Lepisosteus oculatus: one gene and its partner. The protein of the gene in region 2 interacts with the protein of the main gene of each other region in a pairwise test. Links are inferred from orthologs where the notes say so. Each region holds a gene or a part of one and is shown on either strand. Other genes may lie near its edges.

Region 1 (10,210 bases), on a different chromosome or scaffold from region 2:
TTCTAAGCATAATGGACTAAGAAACAGGTTTTATGCTCAATCTTGTCTATGCTGTTAAAGGTTTTCAAACACTGTGCATCACTGGGAATGTATGCATTTTAGTTAAAAAAAATATAAAAACTTGTCTTACCTCTTCATTGTCCTCATCTAAGTATTTTATTTGCACATCGCTTAACCGAAAAGAATGTTTCACCTGCAATAAAGAATCAACATTTTATTTCCTTTAGACAGCTGCCTGACAGCTGAAACAAAGCCAAGTTACAACCCTCTCTGCACTGCATTTTACTTGGTATGCATCTTGAAAATGTCAATCCAGTCAACACAATTAAGAAACCACAAGGACGCAAGTTACAATAATAAATAACTGCTTGTACTTGTGAAGTTGGTCACACATACAATGAAAGAGGAATCACTTCATCCAGTGGTGAAGTGCACCATCCACCTGAGTGTCACGTGGATCTCATGAACAAGTGACAAATTCTTCATCATATCAATTAAGGGGCAAAAGGAGAGACACCAAATCGCACAAGCCCAAAGTGGAGTTTACTTAGGAGACCGGGTTAAAACCTCTAATAGTTCCATAGGGTCTTTAAAGACCAAGTAGTCAGGATATTGGTTTAATATCTCAGCTAAAGGGCAATTTGTAGCACTAGTGTGGAAATACCACATACAGGAGCAGCCTGGTTCACTTTAGAGGTCTCCTATAGCCTTGACACGGCCCCAGCCTTGCTTAACATATAAATCTTATAATGCTGCTGACACGTGGAGAAAAATAAGTTAATTTATAACCGCAAATTGGAGACACGCCTTTACACGATAAGTTGTGGGTGTCTGCTTCAGAACAAACAACTTGGCAATGGCGGTGAAGCTAAGTGATCAACCTGAGATCATTTAAGACGCACCTGGGCAAGATGCTCAATTCAATTCAGCAGCTAACGATCAAATGAGAGAGTCAAACCCAATGGCATCCTCTAGTCTTACTTTTATTGCTGTCAGGTTTCTTTTTTGTTAAGGAGGCATGCATTTGAGTTTACAGGATTGCAAAGCTGCTGCATAAAGCATGTGTGGCACAGACCTTAGTCCAGCTGAGAGAATGAGCACACAAAAAATACAGCCCTTTCTGAACAAATAAGCCTTAATGCCTTAGATGTCTTTAAAAGTTAAAAAAAACATCCCACCATAGTTCCGTTTTAGGCATTCTATTCTTTAAACATGAAAGCCACAACTTAGGGCTTCTCAAACCTGGCTAAGATGAGGAACGTTTTCATGAGAAGGTGGTGATAAGCCAAAGTATCATGTAATTAGGTGGGGCAAAACATGAGCTCTAATCTGCTGTGTTGAAACTATTGGGGTTTTTTCCTCTTCCTCTAGAGAACCACATTGAATTGCATGTCATGGGGCTCAGGAAAGCCGTTTCAATTAATTAAAAAGAACATTTTATGCTTCACTAAGCCTTCCGTTCTAATTTTCAGACCCAAGATAAGAGAGCAACTATACTAATGCCCTTATCATGTGGGGAAGGCATGCACAGAAAGCTGTCACTGGCGTTTTACCCACACCACAAGAGAATTTGGCAAATTTAATTACAGAAAATTCCTCTGCCACTGTTTTACATAAGCACTTGGAAAAGGCTCGTCATGCTTGCTTAACGGGGTAGCTGCTAGGCAAGTTTATTAACAATCGCCCTGCTTCTCTAAAACAAGCTGTTGTTAATATTGTTACTGCTGTATCCCATGCAGTTGATTCTATCAGTCCATTTTTTTTACCACTTCATCCAATTTAGGGTCGCAGGGGAGCTGGAGCCTCTCCCAGCAAGCAACAAGCACGAGGCAGGGTGCACCCTGGGCAGGAGACAACTTTGTCACAGGGCACACACACACACAGACAGACAGACACGCACACTCTCTAACTAAGGACAGTTAATCTACCAGCATGTCTTTGGACTGTGGGCGATAACTGTTGCACCCCGAGGAAACCCACCTGGACGTGGGGAGAACGTGCACTCACTCTAATCAGTAAATTAACATATAGGCCATAGTTATATTTGAATGTCCCTGGCAATGTAATGTTATTTTAAATTCTAGAACGGCGTTTATGTTAAAAATATAGCAGATAAGGGAACGAAACAAACGAGAACAGTAGTTGCGGGTTTCAGTTTGAACTTGTATTATAGCCGCTTTTATTCCCATTGATGAGATAAGATTCCTACGGAGATCCGACAGACTAATAAGCGAACACGTTGCTATTTTAATTTTATGTATTGAGATACATTTATACCATTGCAGACAGAACACATCTGAAATTTACACCCAATTTAAAGATGTATTTACTTTCAGCTATGTCCACTTCCCGGGACATCTGAAAAGTCACAATCGCATACTAAGGGCTCTATACATTTGCTGTAATACAGCATTAAACTTCATTATAAATAAATTACACTTTTATTAATAAACACGTTTACTAATTAACTTCATTATGGATAATTGCGGTGTGTCTGAAAGGCGATTTTAGTTAAATATTAGGATAATATTAAATTAACAAAAAGCCACGGACGCATAAATTCATTACTTAGTGACGATATTTCCACTATATTCGAGAAGGTTCTAATGTGACCCCAAGTTCCGCTTAGTACGCTGTTAATTCGTTTAAAGTTAAGCCATGCGAAGAGGCGATTTCCCTGCTCAGTGAGCTCTAGAGGGCAGCAGCTGTTGCAACTGAGACCAAGTTCAGTACGGAGCTGCGGGCTCATTTCAGCGGCCAGATTCGTTGCCACTGGTCTCAAGGACTAGTTCATGGAGCTGCGTGCCAACACCGGCCTGTACTCCAGCTGTAACGGCGCTTTCAGGTCGCTGCAACTGATCCGCTGTCTTTCTGTAGCTTTAATGGAAAAGAGCTGTTGTTTTTAGTCATCCTATTGTATGTTGACTAACATGCAATATGTACTGTGAACCTATGTAGGGATGTTGTGCTCTGAAAGAGCTGTCCCAAGCCAGATACAGTATTCACAATAAAACGCCAAAGAATGCAAAATGGTTTTCGGGCAGGTGGCCGGACCATCTAAAACAACATTTACACGGGACGAGTCTTCTTTTTTCTCACTTTCTACTCTGATGGGGGCACCGCGGGTGGATATGTGCATTTCCAAACTGTTCCTGATTACTATGGGCTGTTTGTTTGATCTCTCCGTAAGGGCGAGGAGAACAGATGCGAGTGGTTTCCATCTCGACTGTAAGCATTAAGGACATGCTGCGTCACCGCGGATGACTCACTCGCCTGCAGGAAAATAATACAATGTCTCCGTTTTGTTCCGGTATCGAAAGGTCATGCCTTCGTGACCTTTAACACAGTGTTTCTTCAATGCCCCACAAACCTGTCAGAAACATTTCTCCTCTTTATATGACATAAGTATTCTTAAAAAAAAAATTAAAACGGCGCCGATCTGTAGGAGCAAACAAGGCAGCCCTCCTACCCAGCGTTCATAACAGATAAGGTTGTTTTCCAAGTAGATTTGAACTAATTGTAATTTATGATTTCGATTGTTAAGGTAAACATATTTGTGGTATTTTCCCAGTTCACGCACAGAACCTCGGGCAGTCATTCACGACTCTTTTATGACTCCTGTATTGATAGTTTTGCTACCAACACAGTACAGTGTGTGTAAAAGAATGAGCCAGGTCTTTATTAATTGGATATAAGGGCTACTCGTTGCGATTACGATTTATGACGTTTCTAATGTCTGACATCACGCACGGCACGGAAATCCTATTATCGCCCGTACGCATACACAGCGCGTCGGAATTTCAAACTGGCCCTGAAACGGAAGCAAAGCAGGATTTTAAACTGAGGAGAAACTTCGAGAAGGGCCGTGTCTGGGGGGGGGGGAGGCCGACGCCGAGGTCCGACCGCCGCGCCGGAGGCTCACCGCCACTTCCACCGCCTCCCAGCGCGTCCTCTCCGAGTCCGACACCAGCAGGCTCTCCGCCCGTCCCTTAAAATGCGCCTTCAAGCTCACGGGGGAGTCCATGGCCGTCTGTCAGATGTGCAAGTCTGCAAAGGTCATCCAACAAAGAAGCAGCGCGATCTACTCGATGGCACGGTCTTCTTCTTTTACAAGCCAGCTTCTCGCCTGCCTCCGGAGCTCGGCCACGAAGCTCTTCTCCCCACAGTTTCTGTTTACATCTGCGGTAAACACGGGCCCCCACGTGACAGGAAGTCGCCCGACGTCATCAAGAGGGTACATGCGCACTCTCAAACCGGGAGAGACGAGTGGATCGCGCTGGGTTTGACAGGTGTTTCTTTATATCATTTTAGGCTCCCGCTTCTGACCATGATGATGCCAAATTGTGTTTTTCCTATGAATATAAGTTAACGATACCTATTCATTCATCTGCTGTAGCAGATGTTAAGCTACATTGCTTTAAAGGCGTATACTGATTTACAACATATCGCAATACATGTCATATTCTGTAAATCAGTTATATTTGTATTTGCAGATGCTAATTATAGTTTCTTTCAAATGTTTCATGACAATGCAGATTACACAGATACCTGTGATTCTAACCCTGGATGGACATAAGAGAAAGATTAAACGTTTTTCATAATTTGAATTTATTTTGTAATATGTACCCCCTGACGATGTTTTTGTCGTAAAATGTTATATGTACGCTTGTTTGTATTGTATTTGTTGTTATTGTTTATGCATAAATAAATAAAGACAAGAGAATGATAACCAACTGCTGGTAATATGGTGCTCTGCGGATCACGTGATTCTACACAAGGCCCGTACTTTACGGTCTTATAAACCCCAGCAACTTTAGCAAAGACACTTATCTGACAAGACCATGGCGATTTTCTATAAGCTGAGGGTCTGTAGAATAGATATGAGGTATTTTTGAAGAGGCACAAATTTGTGTTTGGTCGGGAGGTGGGTGAGACCGCTCCCTGTCCATCAGTGCACGGTCTCAGTCTGGGGATGGGAGGTGCTCTACAGACCCCAGCAGTTTTGACAGAGACACTTGTCTGACAAAAACAAGGTGATTTTCTATCAGCTGAGGGTCTGTGCAATAGATTGCATCCACCTTTGGAGAGGCACAAATTTTCCCCATCCAATTCTGCACTGCAGTTTTTCTAGAGGTGATCCACCCAGACCAACAATATTAATAAAAACTTAAAACGGAATGAAGAAGGGTGATTTGCTATTGACTGACTGTCTTAACATTGTATGTTTCACCACTTTTGATTGTGCACAAAATGTTTTTGTCCCTGGTTATAGTTTAAAAAAATGATTGAATTTAAATATAATAAAGGATTTTATTTAATTACAAATTTCAGATACAACTCCTTTAAAAGCTTGCATCTTAAAACCTTTTTCATTGAACAGAAACATTTTTATGAAAAAAAAATATAGCAGTATATTACAGTAGTAGAAAGGGGCTGTAAAATTAATACAAACTTCTAATAATCTTAGATTTGTCAAACTTGGAGATAAGTGGAGGCGATTTAAAATTTAAAAAAGGACTCTCTCAAATTAACCATGACGAAATAAAGCAGGTGTTTCAGCTGCTTGTCACTTCGCTTAATGTTGCTTTACTCCTCAAAAGCTGCTGTGGTAGCTGAAAGTCTTTTATTTTGATTGAAATTCGGCTATTGACATACACTTCCGGGTCATTCGTGTCGCTTAGTGTAGCCAGCTTCACGCTACTTCCACGTGGTTGGGTGATTTTCCTCGCCTCTCATTGTCGTCGCGGCTTTTCTACGTCATTTCTCGTTCTCTCCCTTTGATACCTTGTGGCTGTGAATAGGAGCTGAAAGGAGCCACACGGTTATTTCTGTTAATACGATCTCAGATTCCCTTCCCTATTTGTCTGAAAATAGAATGTCTTCTCTCCTCAAAGTGGACAATGAAATCAAAACTAAGGTAAGAGACGGTAATCCGAGAAAGACTGACGCGAGGGGGATGTGGTGTTGAAATTTGAACAGTCGGAAATTTTTCTGTAACACAAGGCCGGGGTATTAAATAAGTGCCTAGCATAATCGCCTGGCTTTCCCGCGCTGTGCTTCACAGATATAGTCATAATTGCTCTGCGTATGTCGATTTATATGGAATTATCTGAAGTTAAAACAGGATATTTCCGTATATTCCGATATTTCCAATAGTATTGCCCCTTCTTTCATTCTGGCCGGAGGTGCGTGTCTGCTGCTGTCGAAATTAAGGCGTTTGTGGTTGAGTCTTTTCCATAATGTGAAATAATAGTATGATCGTAGCGCCTGTAATGCACAATAAATTCAGTGCGATTTGGCCTGCGTTTGGAATTCGTGTTTTTTGACACGTGTCCTGTTTATTGTTTTGAGTGAATGTCCGGGTCCAATCCCAAGAGCTGTGTCAAAGAATAAAAACGATCGTAAACATTTTTGCTGTCCCTTCAACAGCTACTTCCTTGGAGCCGGATATCTTGGGTGTTTATCTTATTCGAAATCTATATCTTCAGAGTCGCACGGCGCATGTGCTCATATATTTATATAAAAACTGAGTGACAAAACAATTCGGTTCAGGAGACAGTCCCGATGAAGCTACAGACAGCGAAAACGAATGAAAAATCTTGCACCCAGTAGATATATTGGCCAGCATCATGTTCACGTGTTATTGCATTTGTGCTGTATTCTGTTTCAAGCGTAATCTTACGTTACTGTATTAAATGCACAGCCTTGGCAATGTTCTACACAGACGGGTAACGTTTCAGTCTTTGACAGTCTAGTTGTGGACCCCGATTTACGTTTACTCTTTCTACAGGTTGATGCTTTCAGAGAACGAATCACCGGTGAAGTAAGTACTTTTGCTTTCAAATTAAAACGATTCTTTTAACGTAAATAAAAAACTAAGTTGTACTGTACTTAGAGCTCGCATTTCCCAATGTTTACTTTTCTAGGCAGAAGACTTAGTCGCAAATTTCTTTCCAAAGAAGTTACTGGAACTCGATCATTTTCTTAAGGTAAGTCTTTCGATTTTTACCGTTATGTTTGCGCGGTTTTCGTTGTGTAAGAGCTCCTATCCACAGCTGAGGAGACCTGGAAGAAGACGAATTGCGTTTAAACTGCACTTTCCTTGTTAGTGGTTCCCAGAGCACTTTATTCACCTTTGAAAAGCAAATCACCAATCAGTTGTGGTGAGAATTACTCCAGACGTTTAGCCATGCTGGATCATGCAAGCCCAGAATGGGATTTAGTCAAGATGCTTGCTTAACATACCAATTCTGGAAAAACTGTTTCAAGGGATCTTTTAACAACCAAATAATCAGGACATTAGTTCAATCTCATCTGAAATCATTGTACAGCACGGTATTCCCTGTCCCCATAGTGGGGCTCTTCAATTAGTAATTCTGTCTTCAACAGAAGATTGCCCCCTGCTGGTTCACCTACACGACTTGCTGTTCATTGTGCTGAAATCAACGCTTACTACACCCTAGCCAGACCTTTGGGTCGGAGAGCTGATGGGATGGCAATAATACCGCAGAGGAGAAAAATAACCACCTTCGTGCAGATCGAAGTTCTGGAGAGGGTGTAAGCCCCCTCCGTGTAGCCAGATATCTACGTCCGAGAGAGGCTTAAAAAGGTCACCGCACTCCCAGAACCATGAATTGTACTGGGTGAAGTTAATTAACATTTCTAAGTTAGCAGCCTTACGTCTTGGGCACCACAGCAGTGCTGGAATCAATGTGTGAATCAAGCTAGAATTGAGTTCAGTAACGTGGAGCCTCACATTTTCTGGAGTTACTGAAGAGATTTAAGGTCTGGTGCTTGGTTTGAACGATCACTGCCGAGTACGTGACCAATGCTGTGTGACTGTCATATGGTGAGCGAATAGAGCTTTACCCCTTGCTCAGCCGAACGGGAGAGAGAAATGTTTCTCTGTTGCCTTGTGGTTATTTCCTCAAGAAGGGAACTAACGAAAAATGTTAAAAAGCAGATATGCTTGGGGGGAAAGGACTTGTGTTTTCTGTTTTGACGAAGGAACAGTTAAAGCCTAATGAGGTCTTAAAACAAGCTGAGGTCTCTGAGCTCAAGGACTAATCATCACTCCTTGGATGTTAAAGGAAAGGATAAAGTTACGTGTCTCCAAGGCTGGTGGTTTGACAGGACTCTTCAGATGAAGGCTGTGGTCCGGTTTCAAGGCAGAACCTTTTGCTGCTGACGTTCACATGTGTTTTCATTGTGCCTTGATCTGCTGTTCTACAGGACCCGATCTTAAACATCATTGAGCTGAAAGACATCCATTCAGAGATCAATTTATCCGTGCCTGACCCCATCATCCTCACAAACAGCCACGATGGGCTGGAGCCTGTGAGTATAATGCTGTTCCTCTTGAGCCTTGTTTTTTAAAAGCTGATAAAACCGATCAGTCCAAACAGTTGGATTGATGGCTGAGCCTGTTTGAGGGCTAATTTACATGGAGGTTTAATATTTTGTTTTCAATGCAGAATTGACAATGGTTCTATTTTTAACATACCCTTCCCACATGGAATTATCAGTTCATCTAAATACTATGGCCTTCGTACAAGCTAGGAGCAAATGAGGTCTTTTCATACTTTCCTCCCCAACATTTTCAGTTATTTTCCTGCAGCCCACCTTTTATTTAGGCTATTATTTCATGTCTGTACCCTTGATTAAGAGAAAATTGTACCACAAAACAATTGGTCTTAGATTTTTTTTTTGTAGAAAAGTGAAAATTTGTCATTGTAACAATTGTTTTAAATTCGTTTGGAATCGCCAACAGCAGGCATGAGGTAAAATCTGAGGTGCCATCGCACGAAATATGCCAAGAGTATTCTATTTTTTATCCTGTAGTGTTGGGGACATTCTTAGTGTTTCCTGTTCGATGGAAACCGGTGCTCTCTCAGAGAAGCTTTTCTGCCCAGTGACTCTCCTCTTACACCGTCTGTGACATCGTGTGTCATATATATAAGAACCAGACTGGATCGGGCAGGCCCGGATTGGTTCGCCAGAGGGACGAGGACTGTTAGATGCTGGCCCTCTATTCTTGCAGGCCAGTACGGGTTTTAGATTTGATCTGATCTGAGTCAGCTGATTCCAAGTTGGTGGGTGTAAAAAAAAAAATAAATAACCTGGAAGCTATTCTCCCTGCACTAGACTGGCTTAACATACTGATTTAATTCAATCTCCTGAGCTAAAGGCATGCGTTCATTTTCCTAACCTTGTGAGAAAAGCACAGTGCCCAGGCAGAGCTGCGACAGGCCACTTATGTTTAAATGAAACTGTTGCGTTGCAGCAGAACACCAAGAAGAGGAAGCTGGAAGATGGGGCAGGAGATGACAACTGCCAAGGTGGGTTCCTGAGTGTCATTAGTGACGTCTAGGCTGGCGATTGTGTGTTGTGCCAAGCCGGTCTGCTGGATGTGGTGCTTGTGCAGAGAAAGGTTGAGATGTCAAACTATTAAATGGGTGTCGTAGTTGCGTGGTAGTGTGCATGTGCCCTTTTTGATTGCTTACAAGTTAAAGGGGCTGTTTAAGGCATTTGCATATTTTTTCTATTTACATCCCTGTCCTACCTGCCCTACAATATGACTTGTGTGTGGTTTTCTACTGTGATACGTTTCCTAGACTAGGTCAAAGTAAGTAATGCAGAGTGTTATGCATTAGCCATTGAGAAGCCAATGGGGAAGTGCAATTACAATTGAGACCAAGAGGCTCTTCTGTACCCAAAGGGTTGTGGGCGTCTGAATCAAGCTAGCAAGCCAACCTGTTGAAGCTGATACCCTGGCTTCCCTTAAGGAACATTTGGATGAAAACCTGGATCAATCAGCTGCCAACTACAAAACAAATGACCTTGTTTATAATGAGTCCTGTGTTATTTTGCTACTTTACTAGACTGCTCTCCAAGATCTTTCTTTCCTGCTGTACTTTTTTTTCAAATCCCATAGAATCAACATTTATTTTTCTGCTACACACCCAATTAGAAATAGCCAGCTGAGTTTTTGTATCTCAGTTTGTAGTCATGAATCCTGCAGCCGCACAGGGGAGAATGAGGAGGAGTAGGCAGTCTCCCCTAACCCATCCACATTGACTTGCAAGCCTCCTTCTTTGCACACGCAGGAGGGAATGGCGGTACCAAATGAAATGGGAGACCTCTCTGCCTTTAGGATGCCTGTTGCTTTGCTATAGTGATGTTGATTTCTTCTTCTGTGCAGTGACTGGCA
Region 2 (10,410 bases):
TGACAAAGATGGTTAAAGTACGTCTCTGAGGTCTGGTTCTGTAGGGTTTTCTGATCTTCAGTCCACCTGGGTGCTTTCACCTAGTTTTATTTACTGTCTCAACTGTGGTCATTTCCCCCTTTCCTTGCCTCCCAGCTGTTGATGGTTTAAAAGGCAGAAGGCCTCGAGGGACCCCATATCCTGAGCTGTACCTGAAAGGCTGGAGGCTTCAGTCTTGGGCAGGTGGCGTGCCTTCAGCACCACAACGGTCAGAGTGCTGGTGGTCGACTGGTAGCACAGAGACAGCAGGAGCTCCCCTCTGCCCACACACCTCTGCAGAGACACAGAGAGAGGGAATGAAAACCAGAGCTCATCACCTTCGATACCAGTATTGCTCATGTCTATGTGCAGTGTGATATTGCTGCCTTTCTCCAGAGCTATTTATCTTTTTCATTTCTTCACCAATCACTTCACGGAGAGTCTCCGAACATGTGTTCACCCTCGCTTATATTTTACCTTGATCCAACGTAAAAGAAAACAGAGGAGGAAAAGGTTGATTTCATTTTATAATTTCCATATTGCTGTCTGTTCTGAAATGGTTAGAAAAAAATATACACACAGCTGTAAAAAAAATCAAACACTTTACACTGTTCTTTTGATTTCTGTATTAGTCCTTCTTGAAACCAAAACATTCCTGTAATAATACTTTACTGTTGTAGTATCTGTTTTGTTTTAATCCAACAGTTGATCTTGATACGTATTTTGTAGTATACAAAATAGCCATTTAACTGTATGGACATATTGAAAAGAAGACCTGACAATGAGTCAATTAGATTTGATTGGTAAATGTGATGGATTAGCTACCACAGCCCTTCATATTGACTGCTCTTCTTTAGCTGACCTTGTGTTATGGATATCAGATTTTTAAAGGTTCAGATCAATGTGAATTGAAGATCACTTAATTCTGTTAGTTGTGTAATGCTTTTGCACAACTGTATACATATATGGCATCTTGAATAGCGAAATAGCGAATAAGGTACATACAGTATGAGAGTAGGCCATTCTGTCGATCTTTTCTATTTAGGAAATTGCAATTAAAAACGTCTCCAAGCAGAAAATAGCTTTAAAATTATTTGGTAATTGGTTCCAGGCACCCATGATTCATTCTGTAAAAAGGTGTGTTCTAATGTCATAGGTTCTATTTAATACTCTTTTAATATTTAATATTTATTACTCATTTAATATTCATTTAGTATTTAATACTCTGAATTCTCAGGTATTTGTTATGCTAAAATACATGCACTGGGATGATGTTTTCTTTGCATCTAAGGTTTCTGAATACTGAGACTTAAATAAACTGCAAAACCTCCTCTGCTTATCTTGTCTCTGTTTCATTACAGCGCACAAGCTCTGTTTCTGAAATGTGTTTGATCGCTGCGTGTTTTCTGTCCCTGTGTGACAGTGTTGTGTGGACTCCCCCTCCCTCCCGAGAATCGCTATTTACCCTGACGTTGCGTTTGATGATCTCGCGGGTCATGAGGACACGCCCCTCCGAGAGGTCAACCCCCGCCAGGGGCACCAGAGCCTCGCCGATGACGTCATCCCGCGAGAAGCGGTCGAAGCTCAACACCATGAAGTGCAGAGCCAGCTCGGGCACCCGGCTGTAGGGGATCCCGTAGAAGCTGAACGTCTCATCGAAGGCGGGATCGAGGGTCTTCCTCAGCACGCGGGTCTTCACCTTGTACTTCTTGTCAGGCAAGATGGTCATCTTGACGTAGGGGTCGGAGGTCAGAGACTGCTCGTCCATGGCGGACAGCCCGTGCGCCTCCTTGATGTTGACGATGAAGGCCTTCTTGTCGAAGTTGTACTCGAGCGAGAAGAAAAGGGTCCCCAGCCCCGCTTCTCGGTCGGGGGGCTTGTCCGCCGGCGTTAGCGCCTTGCTGGAGGGCACGCTCTCCGGGGAGGCTGGCTCCTTGCCTTCCTCTGGGAAGCAGCCATGCGGGGAGGGCATGTCCAGCTCGGGCGAGCTCCGCACACGGGGGTGCGGCTTGGCGAAGTTGCCGTTGAGGTCTCGCTTCTCCAGGTCCAGGTGGAGGGCGGTCTTGGCGCTGGCAGGGCTGGGCGTGGACTTGGCCAGCTCTGTTTTCTCATCAGCCCCGAACTTCTTCTTGTTGGTGAGGCTCTCAGGATAGATGTCCACCCCCTTCAGCATGTGCACAAACTTGTAGGGAGGAGTTTTGTTGGATTTAGCTGACTTGCGCTGGCAGCATATCCATGCGAACAGAGAGACGGTGAAGACCAGTCCAAAGGCACTGATGATTCCCACTGCGGCCGGGACCTCGGCTACAATACAGGAGAGAACAGACATGAGAAATCTGCACGGCTGCAGCTGCAAACTGGGACTACAGAGCCAGTGTGGCGTTCGAGTGCTCAAGAAACTGAGTTTAAGTGTCATTTTGTATGTTTGTGTGTGTAAGAATCGGCTTGTGTGTAAGCATCAGTTTGTGTGTGTGGAAGCACTGGGTTATGTGTGCGTGCAAGTGACAGTTTCTGTGTGCAAGCATAGGTTTGTGTGTGTGTGTGCAAGTATCTGTGCGTAAGCATCCATTCGTGCATGTGTAAGCGCTGGTTTGTGTACGTGTTTGTATGTGCAAGCATCAGTTTCTGTGTGTGTCTGTGTGTATTCCTGTGTGCACAATCTGTCTTGTTTTCCCCTATCATGACTTCAACTAGTATTAAGCCCTTTCTTAGAGAGGTTCATAGAAATGTTTGAATATTATTGTAAATTTTATTGATTTAAATTAATATTAATACATTGATTTGAGTTCTGTACCTCTTGTTTGTTGAGGTACAGAATGATACATGTCAGGTAACCTGAAACTGCGCCGTTCCCTGTTGCGCCCTGAATTTGAAAATCCGTATGAGATGGAGTATACTATGAAATGGCACTCTGAAGTGAAAATGATTCATCATTTGATTGTGTCCGTCTGTCTATATGTATCAGAAGATATTAACCATTTTCGTCAGCGCAGTGCGTGGTTCATGTTGCCTGCAGCTTGTGTTAATGCAGCTGAGAAATCAACACATCAGTAGAACACAACTGGTCTGAAACAGGTCCCCCGAGTCTTCTGTGTGTTGTGTGTGTGTGTGTGTGTGTGTGTGTGTGTGTGTGTGTTTAACCCTTGTTTACACTCTTCCTCACTGATTCTATCTTTTCTGCTTTCCCCTATCAACTTCTATGTGTCTAGCCCTCACCACCCAGGCTGGGGCAGCAGCATTGTCAGACATCGTGATGTGCTACTCTGTCTTTCCACCCCCCTCACACACCTCCCCCTCCCAGAAGATTCTCTGCAGAAGCAGACAGTGTGTCCACTGGTCTAAGTAACACAGTAGGGCAGGAATCTACAGTGACTCAGAATTGCACAATCCTGGGGATTCAGCAGCCACACCAGAATCCACATCCTACTTGCTGCAGGTCTTTCCGTAACAGACAAAAAAACATCATTCTTTTATTCCAATCGTGCTTTCCAAGAGTAGAAAAGCGGCGAATGTTTCTACAAACCAAAATCGCAGCAAAACAAATCTACCAATTACCTTGGTTTTCATCCAAACACATGTCATCTGCCTATCTTTGTCCTCAGCATGAAATAACTGAATATGTCTCATTTACTTACGGGGGATTTCTTTTAATGACAAATACAGAAAATAAAGGCAATAGCTGATACGATTATTACGCCGTGAAAAATAAATATAAAAATGCTGGAATTTGCAATTAGAACTAAATTCAATGGTATTATTTTTCATTCAATGTGGCCTCTCTACAGACACAATGAAGCGATCCTTTTTCTTTCGCTGAAAACTGTTATTGTAAACTGCAATCTCTATCCAGACAGCCTGTTACGTTCCGTCGGAGGGCATAACGCGTGAAGAAAATCAAAGGTCTTACCGAACTGCGCTCCCTCTGCAATCACTGGCGCCATGACGCGTGGTGCTCTGTCCGAGGTGCTGAAAGCACACTCCTGTGTTCCAGCGCTTGAGTGTACCCTCGACAGCTCCGGCTTTCACTGCGACTCAGCCCTCGAATGCCTGCCTTTCAGTTGAAAATTGATTCGTATTTTAATTTGTCGATCAAAAAGAAATGTGAAAATCTACATATAAAGGTACCGAAATGTTTTGTTATTATTCTTTTTTTAATAATATTAAAAACTTGGTGGTTTTTTTCCCCGTGTTCTCCCCGAAGCACTTCTGTCGTACTTTCTTTCACGGTCACTCGTTGAGCTCTGAGCGCCTCTGAGGCGTCGGCTCGGCTCTGTGCTCCCCACGGCTGCTCTGCTTCTGACGCAGTTCTGACGAAGCTGTGTGAAATCACCGCCTTTTCTCCAAGGAATGGCAGGGCAGGCTAACAGGCTCATCAATTATTGTAACCGCCTGCCTGCGGGAAGTTAATCCTTGCTGCATTTCACAGCAAAAATATATACATCATACCAGCCAGAGGAAAATTACTCTGAACTGGGCAAAGGAAAGAAATTCAAGACAAGAAGTACATGTCATTAGAAACATGTAAGTTAGAGCGTTTGTGCATGGGAAGGATAGGACAAAGACAGAGATTAAAGACAAGGCATCAATCCATCCTTACCTCCCATGACCCCAGGCTGATTTTACTGCCAAAAGCGTTCTCTGCTTTGGCTCAGCAGGCTGTCTCTGACTGTTTCTGAGCTACAGCCAGAGACCCCACCCTTAAACTGTGCCCGATCATCACATCTATTCTCAGAGAAGCTAACATTTCTTAATTTGGATGCTGTTTCAACATTGGTGAATTAATATTAATTGATTAGCCTCTATGCAGAATTAAGCAGTCACAATCTCTATGGTCTTTCCTTTTTCATGCATTCCAGACCAGATACTCAGATTGCCTTGGCTGTTAGGAATTTGATAGTACCTCAGTTATTCCAATGCATGTGGATTCTGAAGCTCTGTTAATGAAGCAGAAAATGTATACACAGAAGCTCTCTGAAGCTGTTCATAGCCAAGTTTAAATTTATCTCTATCAACTTATCTGGGCATTTTCTTACTAATGGAAGTCCTGGTTACTCAAAGGGTAAGATGAGCCTTGCCTTCTCTGCTGTGATTGTCATCATGAGCTTTGAACCTCCCCCCATCCCCCCTCAACCTCACTCGCCCTCAGTCAGCCTCGTAGTGGAGACCACTGAAACACTACTCGCGCCTGTGCTGGTGAAGCAGGGTTTCAGTGCCTTGGTCGTGTGTTCACTGGATCTTCATCTTCACCTCTGTATACCGACTGTGAAAAGGGGGACATTTGTAGCATTACTCGAAATCTTCAGACATATACAGTATCAACAGTGAAAACCAGCCAGGAGAGGCAAATAGAACCTATGAGGAAATGCACAAAAACCTCAGAACAGAAATAACTTTGTTTGACATACAGGGCTATAGCAGTCCTGAGCCAAGTACCTAGACATGTTGTTGAACAACATACCCTGGATTATTTCAGGAAAAAGCTGGATGAGATTCATGGATTGATTAGCTAATACCTACCAAACAGGTGAATTGACTAAATGGCCTCCTTACATTTATAATGTTTATTCTTTAATATCTTGAGTATACATAATCTGTGTGTCACTGTGTAATAAATCGACAATGAGAGCTGCCCATAGCCAGCAGCCATATCACCATGCAACTTATAACTGGCAACCCACTGAAGCTCAGCAGGTGTGAGCCTGGTCAGTACCTGGATGGGAGACCTCCTGGGAAAAACTAAGGTTGCTGCTGGAGGATGTGTTAGTGGGGCCAGCATGGGGCAGTCACCTTGCAGTCTGTGTGGGTTCTAATGCCCCAGTATAGTGAGGGGGACACTATACTCTAGGTCCTGAGTCTCTGTGGTCATTAAAAATCCCAGGGCGTTTCTTGAAAAGAGTAGGGGCGTAACCCCGGCGTCCTGACCAAATTTCCCATTGGCCCTTACCAATCATGGCCTCCCCATCTATGAATCGACTTCATCACTCTGTTCTTCTCCTTATCATAGCTGAAGTGTACTAGTGCACTATGGCTGCTGTTGCATCATCCTGGGGTTGCACATTGGTGGTGGTACAGGGGAGTCTCCATTACCTGTAAAGAGCTATGCCTGGAGTGTCCAGAAAAGTACTATATAAGTGTCAGTAATGGTGGAGACACAGGAAGAAACACCTTAATGCTATCCGTTCTCATCTGATCTGGAACTCTAGCCTGCATTACAGCAGCTTCTCTCCAGGCCTGTGCTTTACAGAAAATGTGGGATAGATCTGTTTTATAAACATGAAAACTCAACATCTCTCTCAGACGCTTGGAGGAATTCAGTAGACAGAGAAAAACAGTTACTTCAGGTAATGAAATGCTTGAATGTTTTTTTTCAACAATGAAGATCGCATTAGCTTGTGTGAAGGGGGAATCAGGCTTTGTCATCTTGACCTCACACAGTGAGCCAGGCAGGTCTTCATGCTGAGGTCAAGAGCCAGTAGGGCAGGAAAGTAAATGACGGACACTAAAGGCTTCTTCAATCCTGGATCCTGGACACCCAGGAGGAACGTGTGCAGGGGGAGCTGAGACGCCTCCCACATTATTCATGATGATTTGCACGCAGTAGCCTGGGGGAGACTGCAAAAGAAACAGCGCACCAAACATAAATGTTTAAAAACCCACTGACATGCTCAACTTCAGCAGCTTCTGGATATGTGTTTGGCTGACAGTATTACCCTTCTGCTCCACTGCCCCTTCACTTCATTGCAAACATTTCTGCTCTGCAGATGAGTTGACTTTCTTTGACAAAACGGTTCAGCCAAGCAAAAGCATTCAACGAAGAAAAAAAATGAAATTACTGCGGCTTGTGACTAAGCTGTGAGCCCCTGGTAAATGGAGTGGAGTAATGTATTGACTCTGGGCGCTGTATGAGGAGTCATTAGGCTGAGCATTTGGTGTGTCTTGAGGAAATGAATGTGCCACGTTTAGAGAATAAATGTCCCTTATGCTGGATTTTCTGTTTTTATGACTTCTCAGTACTTTTGCTCAGGTCTTAGTTGAATTGCACATACTGTTAAGAGTTTTTGGAAGATAAATCAAAGATCTGCCTGGCATTCTGATGGGTGCTCACCCTCTCTCTTTCTGAGCCCTTGTTCTGCCAAATCCCAGGTCAGCTGTGCAAGTGCCAAAAGATCGATCCTTCCCAGGTCGTCCCTGGCTTCCCTCAGTCAGGGAGGCATGGTCAGGAGTGAGAGCTCCTGCACGCTGGAGGACAGAGGAAGAGAGCAGCAGGAAACAAGAACAGCTCCAACAACTGTCCTCATCACAGCTGCCGTAGTATGACGAATGCCTGACTAGGAGGCAGGGGATCAATCTAAGACATGCTGCTGCTGTTGCTCTTCATGCTTTGCACATGTCTGTGTTTTGCACAAGCGGACAGAGTGCCTGGTGTGTCTCATTTCCTAGTCCCAGCGATGGAGATCTGGTCTGCATAGATAAGGAACTACTGTACATAGGAGAAACAATTAGCATATTGCATTAATGAAACAACTGATGAAAACAGAAGAGTTGTTCGTGGTGTGATGAACAATCCTCCTATGTCTTAGGCTGGACGAACAGTCCCTGTCCTCGGAGAACTTCAGCTGTCACTGTGTTGGGGAGCTGTTTGTTTCTTTTCTCTTAATTTAGTTTGAAGTGTCTGGGCTGAGACATTGTCAAGGGCAGGCCCACAGTGGCAGTGACCTGGGGGTTAATTAAAAACGACAAGCTGTTTGAGATCCCTCTCCTTTTCACTGCTTGAAAAAATCTGCTTAGATGTCTTCTTTGCTGTGGGCACCTGTGTGTCACTGAATACCAATTTCAGCTCCATTTTACAGACACACGCACTCCCTTCAAAGAGCAAGGAAGCTGGTGGAGTGTCGTTATCAGAAATAAGAGACCAGCTAAAATGAAATGTCTTTCTACCACTTTGCATGACCATTCCTAACACTACAATAACATGCGATCAGTGAAGAATGAAGTAAAGTGTATCTGAGATAATACAAACAATCATCATCATCACCACTGAGCAGGAGAGGTTAAGTCACAATACAATTATATCACATAACTATTCCCTTCCTCCACAGCAGCAGTCCATGCACAGCCAGTACTGAAAATCTAGACTTTCATACAAGGTTGCACAGATCATATCAGAGATGTTTTGTTTTTATTCCAATGTCCTATCTTACCAAACTGTGCATGACCACAACTCTACAGATACAATGAAGAGAGAAGTTATTAAAGTAGAAGTAAGGGCAGGCTTTGTATTTTGAAATGGGTGTTAATAACACAAGAGACAGACCCAAATCTGTAACGAAATTCCATGAGCATGGAAAACCTGTCCTGAAGGGAGGAGTTTTGTATTTGTGTGTCACCTGGAATTTGAATCCACAACCTTCCAGGCATGAGTCTAGAAACTCCACACTGCTGCACCCATAAGCAAAAATATATGGTTTAAAAGAACTGCTAAATAGTTATATTTGCCCAGTCTCCACTAGGTAATATAAAAATACAATATCCATCCAAACATTCATTTTCTTACCATTTCTTGCAATTATGGCTGCCCCTGGCAAGCAACGGGCACAAGCTGGGTGCACTCTGGGTGGGACACCAACCCACCCCAGGGAACAAAATACAATATCCAAAGGATCTGGGGGCTGATTAGTGTTATTGTGGTCTAAATCATTCCCTCACAGAAAGATTCATAAACTCTGAAACACACAGACACAAATAAACACAGAGAGACACAACCACACACACATACACATTCACATACAGGAAAACAGACAGGGACAGACCCAGACACAGAGAAACACACTCAGACACACAAAACACACATTCAACGACACAGAGCTGCACAAGTGCTCATTAAGTGATGGACGATAACTATAGGAAGACTGTTCTATGGACAGGAGGGTCCTCTGCTGGTGATGAGAAAATATTACAGTTTTAACTACTGAAATTATTATTATTATTATTATTATTATTATTATTATTATTATTACACCATTTCACCAGTAGAAATAAGGAGAGAGTCTCGATTGTTCAAACCCAGAGTGGAATCTTGGTGTCACACTTGGGTTAACAGCCCTACTCTTAAGAACAGCAAAAGGATCTTTGATGACCAATTAATCAGGACCTTTGTTTTATATCTCACTTGAAAGATGGTACTTCTTACAGCATTGTGTCCCCCGTTAAGTTACTGGGGCATGGGTTTGGATATGCCTGATCCAGAGGAAGGTGTGCCACCTACCGTTCCACCGACACCACTTATAGCAGCAGCCTGGTTTTCCCTGTCCCAGTACTGACCAGGCCCAGTCTGTCTTAGCTTCTGTGATGATAATAATAATAATAATCATTGCTTACACTTATATAGCACTTTTCTGGACACTCCACTCAAAGCGCTTTACAGGTATTGGGGACTCCCCTCCACCACCACCAATGTGCAGCATCCACCTGGATGATGTGACGGCAGCCATAGTGCTCCAGAACACTCACCACACATCAGCGATCAGTGAGGAGGAGAGCAGAGTAATGAAGCCAATTCATAGATGAGGAATATTAGGAGGCCATGATTGATAAAGGCCAATGGGAAATTTGGCCAGGATGCTGGGGTTACACCCCTACTCTTTTCAAGAAACGCCCTGGGATTTTTAATGACCATAGAGAGTCAGGACCTCAGTTTTAGGTCTCATCCGAAAGACAGGACCTTTTTACAGTAGAGTGTCCCCATCACTGTACTGGGGAATTAGGACCCACATAGACTGCAGGGTGAGCACCCCCTGCTTTCCCTACAAACACCTCTTCCAGCAGCAACCTTAGTTTTTCCCAGGAGGTCTCCCATCCAGGTACTGACCAGGCTCACTCCTGCTTAGCTTTAGTGGGTTGCCAGTTGTGACTTGCAGGGTGATATGGCTGCTGGAGATCTGATGAGATCAGGCTTATTGGTGATAATGCTGCTCTCGATGAAAACACAATTTATGCATTACATTGAACTACTTTCGTTCCCTTTTTTTGTTTTAAAGGTGAATCCTGGTGTACACAGAATTGAATGAGCAAAGAGAAGATAAGAACACAAGAATGTTTATAGATGAGAAAATGCCATTTTCCCCATCTATCTTGATTGGGTGCTAGAACTAACTGATCCAAGGATCTCATCCAGAGATCACAGATCTGCCAGGTGTGAAGGAATCTAAGACTATGAACTCTCAAATAATACATTACATATACCAGTATACCAGTTGGGCCAAGAAGAAACTCATGATGAGTACAGGTGCATTAAAGACCTGCAGACCCTTCAATTCTACAGGACCAGAGAGAGCAGAACTACTCTGACCTGTATTTTCACACTAGTTTACTTGTGTGGATATTTTACATTAC

Evidence for each region. The genes of interacting proteins can lie anywhere in the genome.
Region 1: the proteins of syt4 (region 2) and nbr1a interact in binary tests that used the Homo sapiens proteins (3 or more experiments, as listed by UniProt). The two-hybrid records come from large-scale screens. The link is inferred for Lepisosteus oculatus from reciprocal best matches to the Homo sapiens genes SYT4 and NBR1.

The regions. Positions count from the first base shown.
Region 1 is NC_090723.1:3,608,294-3,618,503, forward strand, and holds the start of nbr1a (NBR1 autophagy cargo receptor a), read right to left. Parts: upstream 4,378-10,210; 5' UTR 4,025-4,377; coding exon 3,923-4,024; intron 194-3,922; coding exon 131-193; intron 1-130. Other genes in the region: psme3 (proteasome activator complex subunit 3), read left to right, coding at 5,876-5,917, 6,791-6,823, 6,927-6,989, 8,233-8,337, 9,284-9,338, 10,202-10,210. UniProt on the Homo sapiens protein: Ubiquitin-binding autophagy adapter that participates in different processes including host defense or intracellular homeostasis.
Region 2 is NC_090696.1:29,394,289-29,404,698, forward strand, and holds the start of syt4 (synaptotagmin-4), read right to left. Parts: upstream 4,316-10,410; 5' UTR 3,960-4,315; coding exon 3,926-3,959; intron 2,323-3,925; coding exon 1,484-2,322; intron 313-1,483; coding exon 192-312; intron 1-191. UniProt on the Homo sapiens protein: Synaptotagmin family member which does not bind Ca(2+). Involved in neuronal dense core vesicles (DCVs) mobility through its interaction with KIF1A.